Nothobranchius furzeri: one gene and its partner. The protein of the gene in region 1 interacts with the protein of each later gene in a biochemical or structural test. Links are inferred from orthologs where the notes say so. Each region holds a gene or a part of one and is shown on either strand. Other genes may lie near its edges.

The links.
Region 2: the proteins of copb1 (region 1) and arcn1b form a complex in vitro, tested with the Homo sapiens proteins (2 studies listed by BioGRID). The link is inferred for Nothobranchius furzeri from reciprocal best matches to the Homo sapiens genes COPB1 and ARCN1.

What each region holds. Positions count from the first base shown.
Region 1 is NC_091749.1:61,891,344-61,895,769, reverse strand, and holds the start of copb1 (coatomer subunit beta), read left to right. Parts: upstream 1-1,516; 5' UTR 1,517-1,673; intron 1,674-3,442; 5' UTR 3,443-3,507; coding exon 3,508-3,598; intron 3,599-3,835; coding exon 3,836-4,065; intron 4,066-4,199; coding exon 4,200-4,369; intron 4,370-4,426. UniProt on the Homo sapiens protein: The coatomer is a cytosolic protein complex that binds to dilysine motifs and reversibly associates with Golgi non-clathrin-coated vesicles, which further mediate biosynthetic protein transport from the ER, via the Golgi up to the trans Golgi network.
Region 2 is NC_091753.1:20,843,019-20,847,365, forward strand, and holds the start of arcn1b (archain 1b), read left to right. Parts: upstream 1-1,239; 5' UTR 1,240-1,404; coding exon 1,405-1,407; intron 1,408-2,333; coding exon 2,334-2,597; intron 2,598-4,347. UniProt on the Homo sapiens protein: Component of the coatomer, a cytosolic protein complex that binds to dilysine motifs and reversibly associates with Golgi non-clathrin-coated vesicles, which further mediate biosynthetic protein transport from the ER, via the Golgi up to the trans Golgi network.

The DNA of each region.
Region 1 (4,426 bases):
ATTTAATTTCCTTCTTGCCACAAAAAAATAAATACAATTTTATAGATATGTGTGTGTGTGTGTGTGTGTGTGTGTGTGTGTGTGTGTGTGTGTGTGTGTGTGTGTGTGTGTGTGTGTGTGTGTGTGTGTGTGTGTGTGTGTGTGTGTAGACAACAGATTTGTCAAAGTCAGCTGTTTGATTACCTCACCAGACTTTTTAACACAAGATAGCAGGAAATGTGTATTTGCTGTTTATAAAATTAATAACGACAGCACATAATTCCATTCAGTCAGACCCTGCATTGTGCACACGGCCCACTGGTCAAGAAGAGGCTGCTCTAATGTCATTAGCTGCACCTGTTCCTGCAACAACTAAATGTCTGCTAAAAGGTCAAAGAACTAATGACGCAAAGCAGTCTGGCCATTTGAACACGATGTAAACTGAGATTGCTCTGTGGTTAAATGTGTTAAACAAAATAATCAGTCAGTGTTAAAGGCTTGTAATCTTGATACCACTTCAACACCTCATGCATAGGTTTGGGTACCATTTCATAAAACTCAGAGGGTTAAAAAAACTCTGATTTAAAATATTTTCTATCTTGTTATTTTCTTCCTTTTTGTTTTTAATTCATTCTGCAAAAATCAGCCAGAGCTACTTTTTTATTGTAGTTTTGTGTATATACTGGACTTCTAAGTTTGGTCAACAAAGAAATGTTTTGGTAACTGTCGACATATTGGCAAACCTATTCAACCCGCACCCTTTGAGGTGTTTCATTGAAAATTTGGAGTCGGTTTCATTCATTCAATTTTCTGTGCACCCACGTTGTCACTCAGCTTAGTTTCCACCGGAGGGCGCTGCACGCCACTTTATTCAGTTGGGTTCCTTTCTGGCAGAAGTGTTTAAATGTTTAATTATAGGCTACAGAAGAAACATCGCAAAACAAACAAACAAACAAAAAAAATTCTGAACTGGATTTTTTTTTACCACGAGGAGGAAATCGATGTAATATGTAAAGTATAAATCTTTACTAATGTTAACTCTTCTAGCAGTACTATATTTATTAATTTTTTAGATATTTCGGCTTTTTTATGTTTTTATGGCAAGTATCCTTGATCAACTGCTGTGATCACATTTCATGCTCAGAATTTGTGTTAAAAATGAAATTTGATATACATAGAAATTTTAAATCCGTTTTAAATACAGCCCATAGTTTTAGTGTCATTTGTTTGCATTTAACAGCAAAACAATCACCAATCATATACATCTAGACACGTTGAAACTGACTTTTCTCTCACTGAAAGGGTGCATTAATACTCAATTTCTCTACTTTTATACTTGTGTTTTTATTGTGTGCTTTTGCATTATAAAAAATCGTGTTTGATTAAAGTCTGAGCAAGTGAATAAGTTACAGGTTTTCGACAACATTTTAAGTAAAAAAAAATTCGAATTATTTTAAAAAGAAAATATGCATGTCTGTAAAATGTGGGATTTTGTCCTTTTTTTCGCGCGTTTGAGCCTTCCGGCGCACCGTAGCAGTGATGTGGCTCAGTGAGCAGTCTTCCACGTTACTAGGAAGTACCCGAGAGCCGACGGGGTAGCCCTAACACCAGGAGCTCTTCTAGTTCTTTTACTCATGCTAATATTTGAAGTTGGGAATTGAAGGCGACCGTTTGGGATAAAAGCCGTGTTTTAGGTAAGTCCTGGAGCATATTATTTTCTAACGTGAGTGGATTTATCCAGTTTTTGCTACCAGCGTTAGCAACTATCAAACGTCCTCCATTTCATTGCAAACCTGGATGAAAGCTAAAGCTACTGTTGGCTAACGGTGGCTGTTTAGCTTCCCATTTTATTTCATTATCAGCCGTGTAGACGACAAAACTAGTTTTTATTATTATTTTTTTTTACAATTCTGTCATGTGCCGCCCATCTACGTTTAGACATTCAACGCAAAGGCGATGACATTTGTGCTTAGCTACGTACTAGCTTATTTCGCTATAGCTGTAACAGCTGCTTAATTATCGTTATTTGTTACAAAACTACTGTCAAAATTAAGTGTTTAAATCATGTGGTAAGAGGCATATGATCATAAAAAATAGCATCTACCTGTGTAACTACAGCGATGACAGGTGCCCTGTAACAAACTTTAAATTTCTCATCTTTTTACAGCTGTAGGTTTTGTCATTGCCAGTTTGATCACTACAGCAAAATGTTTAAACTCTCTCATCGACTGTTTAGCAGAAATTTAAAACTTAAAGGCAACAGTCAATGTGTGAAAATCAAGGTTTGTGAATGAAGTCTTGATCAAGATGAAAACATAAATTGCACCACCTCAAGTTGTATATTTCTAATATAAACCTCTCAGTTAGATAGATTTAGCATTGAACCAGCAACCCTCCAAATAAAGCAGCCTGGCCAATTGCTACACCAATTTTAATGAAGGCTATTGATTTAATTCAATGTGTTAGTCTTTTTTGTTCATTAGGTTTCTTGCAGAAACAATGAAAAAAGTTAACTGAGGAGTTTTATACTTTTTTAAAGGTGCATTATATAGAAATTAAGTGTAGTAAAATTTGGTTACTGAAACCACTTAAAACAACTCTGGAGCTTTTTGCCGGCCGTCGTCAAATTATAATTGTCGGCGCTGCAGTATTAGCTCGCAGGAGACACAGCAACCCCACACTCACTGATGGTAAACAGTAGGGATGGACAATGTATTGATATCGGTATCGGCCGATGTTAGTCATTTTTAACATATCGTATCGGTCCGATTAAAAAAAAGAAAAAACGGGCCAATATTATCAACCAATATTTTTTCCATCTTGTCTCCATTTGTTTGCCTGTTTCAGAGGGTGAGGGGGGTGATGTGTGATTGTTTAGTCATGTGAACTGTGAATGAAATCATCTCGGAAGTGTAAATGTGTGTGTTGTGTGTTCATAATAACCTAAATTCAGCTTTAATAATTTTCATTCTATACAAAATCTGCTGATTTTAGAAGCATTGATGTCAGTGTGTCGGTATCTGCAAATATTGGTTTTTGGCCAGAACAGTGATCTTGATATTGGTATTGGCCCAAAAATGTCATATCGGTGCATTACTAGTAAACAGTAGTAACGTCCCTCCTTCCTTTGTTTTGAAAGGAGGAAAACTGACAATTCCTGCAGCCAGCTGGATATGAAACATGTTTCAGTATAACCTTCCGTCCAAAATCACTGAAACTTTAAACTCTTTTGGGATTTTCTCACTGCAAAATTCTCACTATATTCTTACATACTGCACCTTTAACTTCAAAGTGATTGCTTCTCTTATTGATTTGTTTAAATGTGACGAATGTGATGTGTTTTTGTTTCCTCACGTTGTTTCCAGCCTCTGTGTAGATGTCTTTATACTTATTTCCAACATCTTTTGTCATTCAGCATTTGTTTTATCAGCCATTTTTTAACATTTATTTTCCATATTTGCAGGTATTACACTGAAGGGAACTTTACTGGGATTCTTCTAAATCCACCCCGTCCAACAGGCAGCAAAAATGACGGCTGCAGAAAACGTTTGTTACACACTGATCAATGTTCAGTCGGACTCTGAGCCTCCTTCTGAAGTCAGCTTAAAAACAGATCTGGGTAAAATTTCTTCTTGAGATTTTACAAAACGATTTCCTTGTTAACTGTAGTAAAGATGTAAACTTTTGTAATAATTTCTGATTGTGTATAAAGTAATAATTTAACTGGGATCAAAGATTGGATCTATTCAAAACATTTTAAAACTCGTCTTCATGTAAAATGTTAGCTGAAGGCAGGTGTCGTCAGGTAGAGATTTGAACAAATGAAATGTTTTGACATAATTCTAATGTCTTCCAGAAAAGGGAGAGATCAAAGCAAAGACCGAAGCCCTGAAGAAGGTCATAATCATGATCTTGAACGGTGAGAAGTTGCCTGGACTGCTCATGACTATAATTCGCTTCGTGCTGCCACTTCAAGACCACACCATCAAGAAGCTTCTCCTTGTTTTCTGGGAGATTGTTCCTAAGACGACTCCAGATGGCAAGCTGCTTCAGGAGATGATTCTTGTCTGTGATGCTTACAGGAAGGTAAGCTGGGGAATTGTTTTTATTTTCCACATCATTTTCAGCTGGAATAATAGCTGAACAGCTAAAATGATACGTTTGTTCTCAGTACTCTTATTAAAACAAGATTGCAATAATCGTTTCTTTTTTTATTTTAGGACCTTCAGCATCCCAATGAGTTCATCCGCGGCTCCACTCTGCGTTTCCTGTGCAAGCTGAAGGAGTCTGAGCTACTTGAGCCTCTCATGCCAGCGATCCGGGCCTGCCTGGAGCACCGTCACAGCTACGTGCGCAGAAATGCAGTCCTGGCCATCTACACCATCTACAGGTACCGATATTTTCCTGTCTTGTAATCTTCTGCCAGTGCAGATCAATAATCAGCTTT
Region 2 (4,347 bases), on another chromosome or scaffold:
GCTTGTTTTCCCAGCTTCACCCCGGGATGATGACAGCAACACGAAGAGCGACACGGACATCGCCACAGAAAAGGTTTGTGACGAAGCTCTTCTGAGGCTGTTCAGCTCCGACACTGAAGAAGATGACTTCAGTGGTTTCAGTGCACAGGAGGACGATGAATAAACTAATCAATAACTTTTCTGTTTTGTTTGATACTGATCAGTTCAGTTAAACTACATTTTCAATTCAGTAGATATCTGCGGCTTATATTGAGGTGCGCTCTATCCACACACACACACACACACACACACACACACACACACACACACACACACACACACACATAAATATATATATACATATATACACACACACACACACACACACACACACATATATATATACACATACATATATACACATATATACACACACTATAAACACATATATATATGGGGCGACGGTGGCACAGGAGTTAAGTTCTCGCCCATAATCGGAAGGTTGCGGGTTTGAGCCCCGCTCAGTCTGTCGCTGTCGTTGTGTCCTTGGGCAAGACACTTAACCCACATTGCCTGCTGGTGGTGGTCGGAGGGACTGGTGGCGCCAGTGCTCGGCAGCCTTGCCTTTATCAGTGCGCCCCAGGGCAGCTGTGGCTACATCGTAGCTCATCCCCACCAGTGTGTGAATGGGTGAATGAATGATTGTGTTGTAAAGCGCCTTGAGGGGTTCCAGGACTCTAGAAGGCGCTATATCAAATACAGGCCATTTACCATATATATGTACATGTGTAATATATATGTACATGTGTAATATATATATATATATATATATATATATATATACATACATACAGACACATATACATATGACACTCCCTCCCAAGTAGAATTAACTAAAGAATAAAATGTTTATATGATGTTGGGTATCAATGAGTTTGATGAAATGCAATCTTTCTAGGACAAAAACAAGCCCAAAATAACCCCTTCATGTCTGAAAACTTCTGTTATCAAAATTACACATTAAAACACACTTCTGAAGATCAGACAGTGAACAGAGGCTAAATATAAAGACATAAATAATACATTGTAGTTCCAAAGATACCATTTTAATGAATGATCATAAATATAAAACACGATTTAGAGCAGAAATAAGCCCAGGCCGTCCCACTCCAGGGTTTGTTTATGCAACAAGGCCAACATTTCGGGGCCCACGTCACTGGTTTCCACGGTGGGCTGATCCCTCCAGCGCGGCTCTTCCGGTGGAGACGTGGCTCTCTGCTGCTGCCATATTGACGCTAACGCGCTAACAATCACTCAACTGGAAGTCAGCTGGATCGTTCCTCACCTTTCCAGAGGGCCAAAAAACATCCTAGCGGTGGAAACACGAGGGACTGAAGATCTCCACACCTCACAGAGTGACCGAATATGGTGAGTTCCAGCTGAGAACGTGTGGAAGTAGCCTGGGCTAGTCGGGCCTGCTGCCATCATAACATTAGCTAACCTGACAAACGGCTAAAGCTAGCTCATTTTCTCTGCCCCAAAACGAGCTTAAAGGGAAACCTTGGACGGCGTTTATTGGACCGTCTTGTCTAACGACTGTTTAAACGGCACACACGGAGTTTATAAAGGTTCATTTTTAAAAACAGAATCTTATTTTTTCAGTGAACTGGACCTAGAGGAACACACAGACACTGCTGACGTTACCTAGCACCTTCAGGCTGCTGGTGTTGTGTCAGAATCCGGATCCCAACTAACCTGAGCTGCTGTCAGGCTCTCCTCAGACAGAAATAATAAACTCCACACACAGAGACATGGTGTTCGTCAGCGGGCACAGCTTCGTTCACCACAGCTGCTTTCTAACCACAGCTAGCTCGACACGTAGTGCCCCCGGTCATGTGAAAGTGAAGTTCCAGCTTTCAGATCCCTAAATGAAAAGTCTTACGTGTTTATAACCATCGTTAAGCTAAGATTTCATTTAAACCAGGTGTGACTTATTTATTCAGGCTTCAGGTGAGCCAGCCCATCAGCGCCAAGGCAAATATTGGTGGTTCCGATTAGGTGAAGCTTACTTACTCTCGCCGCTGTCTCTGACGCGGATCGGCTCTGCCCTTTGGAGTAATTTAGGTGCCTATCCGGTTTATACAGCCACCATCACATAGTTTATCCTACAGGTGTAGTTTTGTTCTTGATGTCAAGGCCTTCACTTGGAGCTGGGATTAGTTTTTGCTCCTTCAGAGAAAGTGGAAATATTCTGTCAGTTCCTTTTTCTTAACCCTGTCTGAAGGCAGCATTTGGTCTAATTGTAACTTTTTACAGACTCATCACACATGCATCTTTTCCCCCTCGCCCTGCAGGTGCTGTTGGCAGCGGCGGTGTGCACCAAGGCCGGAAAGGCCATAGTGTCCCGGCAGTTTGTGGAAATGACCCGGACGCGGATCGAGGGTCTTCTGGCTGCGTTCCCTAAGCTGATGAACACGGGCAAGCAGCACACCTTTGTGGAAACAGACAGTGTTCGTTACGTGTACCAGCCGCTGGAGAAACTCTACATGGTCCTCATCACCACCAAGAACAGCAACATTCTGGAGGACTTGGAGACACTCAGACTTTTCTCCCGGGTGGTAAGGAAACACAGAGCTGTTTTTAATATGTGGGCTGGCTTTGTGAAACTGACCCAGAAGATGGGAGATGAAGCTAAATGTTGGGCTTGATAACAGATCACACGTGCAACATCACACCAGTACAAAGTCAGTTGTCCGTTAGGCCGTAGTTGGCCGTCAGTTACTCCATTAGACCTTGAGCAGTTTAGTTGTTTTACTATCAAACACGGTGGATCGTTTAGATCAGCGGTGCTTGTCCCACAGCACAGCCGGGCTGCCTCCCCCCAGCTCCTCGACCCGCAGCTGCTTCTGGAAACTAAATCAAACTCGTTTAATTATTCTGATCATTATCAGAGTTAAAGATCACGTCCATCTGCTCCTGTGCACTGGAGTCCTGTCTGTCCGTCCTCTCCAGGCTGCTGTGGTTTGGTTTGATGGCGTTAGAGAAAACGTTTCTGTGACCGTGGAGAGTTGGACGTCTCATCATCGCTGCACCACTTGGTCTAAAGCAGTTCGTTTTCCTACTGTTGCATCAGAATATCATCAGATATGAAGCATAATAAACAAACAACGCTCTTTATGCTTATTTATATTTATGAAGTAAAACGGGGAGAAAAGCTAAGTCGGACAGTCCTGTTTTACTCCCAGTCTGGTTTAAAAAGCAGCTTTTCCACAGTTGATGGGATTTAATATGTGACACTTTTAGACTAACTGGTTAATGAATCCTTTCCCTTTTGGTTAACCAAACTAAAATATTTACTTTTTATGAACACATCTTTCTTGGCTTTAGAGATCTGAGCTTAGCCCTTAACATCACACATTTAACATCAAATCCAAAGTTTAGAAACATATCTCATCTTATTTTATACTCCAGGCTCCATTAACCCAAGCATGGACCATGCTATAGCTAGCATTAGCCTCCCTGTAGCATGATAATACACCAGAAAATGCTCGTCATCGTTTTTATGTTGTTGCTGTTTATTCTCTTTATAAGGATAGGTGATTACTTTTATCAGGTTATGTATCACATGACACACTCTGGGTGTGGTGTAGCTAGTATATTGTGTGTTTACACAGGTTCCTTCACTCTTTAGCTTCTACTCTACAAAATGAGACTATCTGAGAGCTTTGACCCCGGCTACAGCTGCGTGAGTCTTACTAACGCCTAGAAAACCAGGCCACACGCTCTTTAGAGCACATTTTGGCTTTCAAAATGATTTGAAGCATTCAAACTTAACGGATAAACTAACTTAAAAATCAAAATGTTTCAGTAAAATATTATAATAGTAAGCCAAAGCAAATAAAAAGGCACTAAATATTTGTTTCTGTCACATTTTGCTGGTGTGGAGACCTAAATAACACGAAGTCAGCAGCTATGTTGGGGTTTGGTTTTAAGGCCCGCTGTGTTACTATGGTAACAGAGTCCTAGCTCACCTGCTCCAGGTGAAACGTTCAGAATTAGGGTTTGTATAAACTCCATCGCTTTGTTTTTGAATGTCTGACTCCTAATTGCTTCGACAGTATTTATGCCATATTTCTACCAGATCCTGTAAGCTTTTAAATAAATCGGACAATCAAATTGCAAATAATTCCACGATCGTCCTTAACCGTCTGGGGTCCATGGACGCGTATCCGCGTCTTTTGAACAGGTCTGATTTGGGACGCTGTAGCAGCAAGACTCCGCCTCCCTGAGTTTTGGTTTCAATTCAGCTTTAAAAAGGAGATTATAAACTACACCCCAGATTTTAAACTTTGTTAATAGGCAATGTAA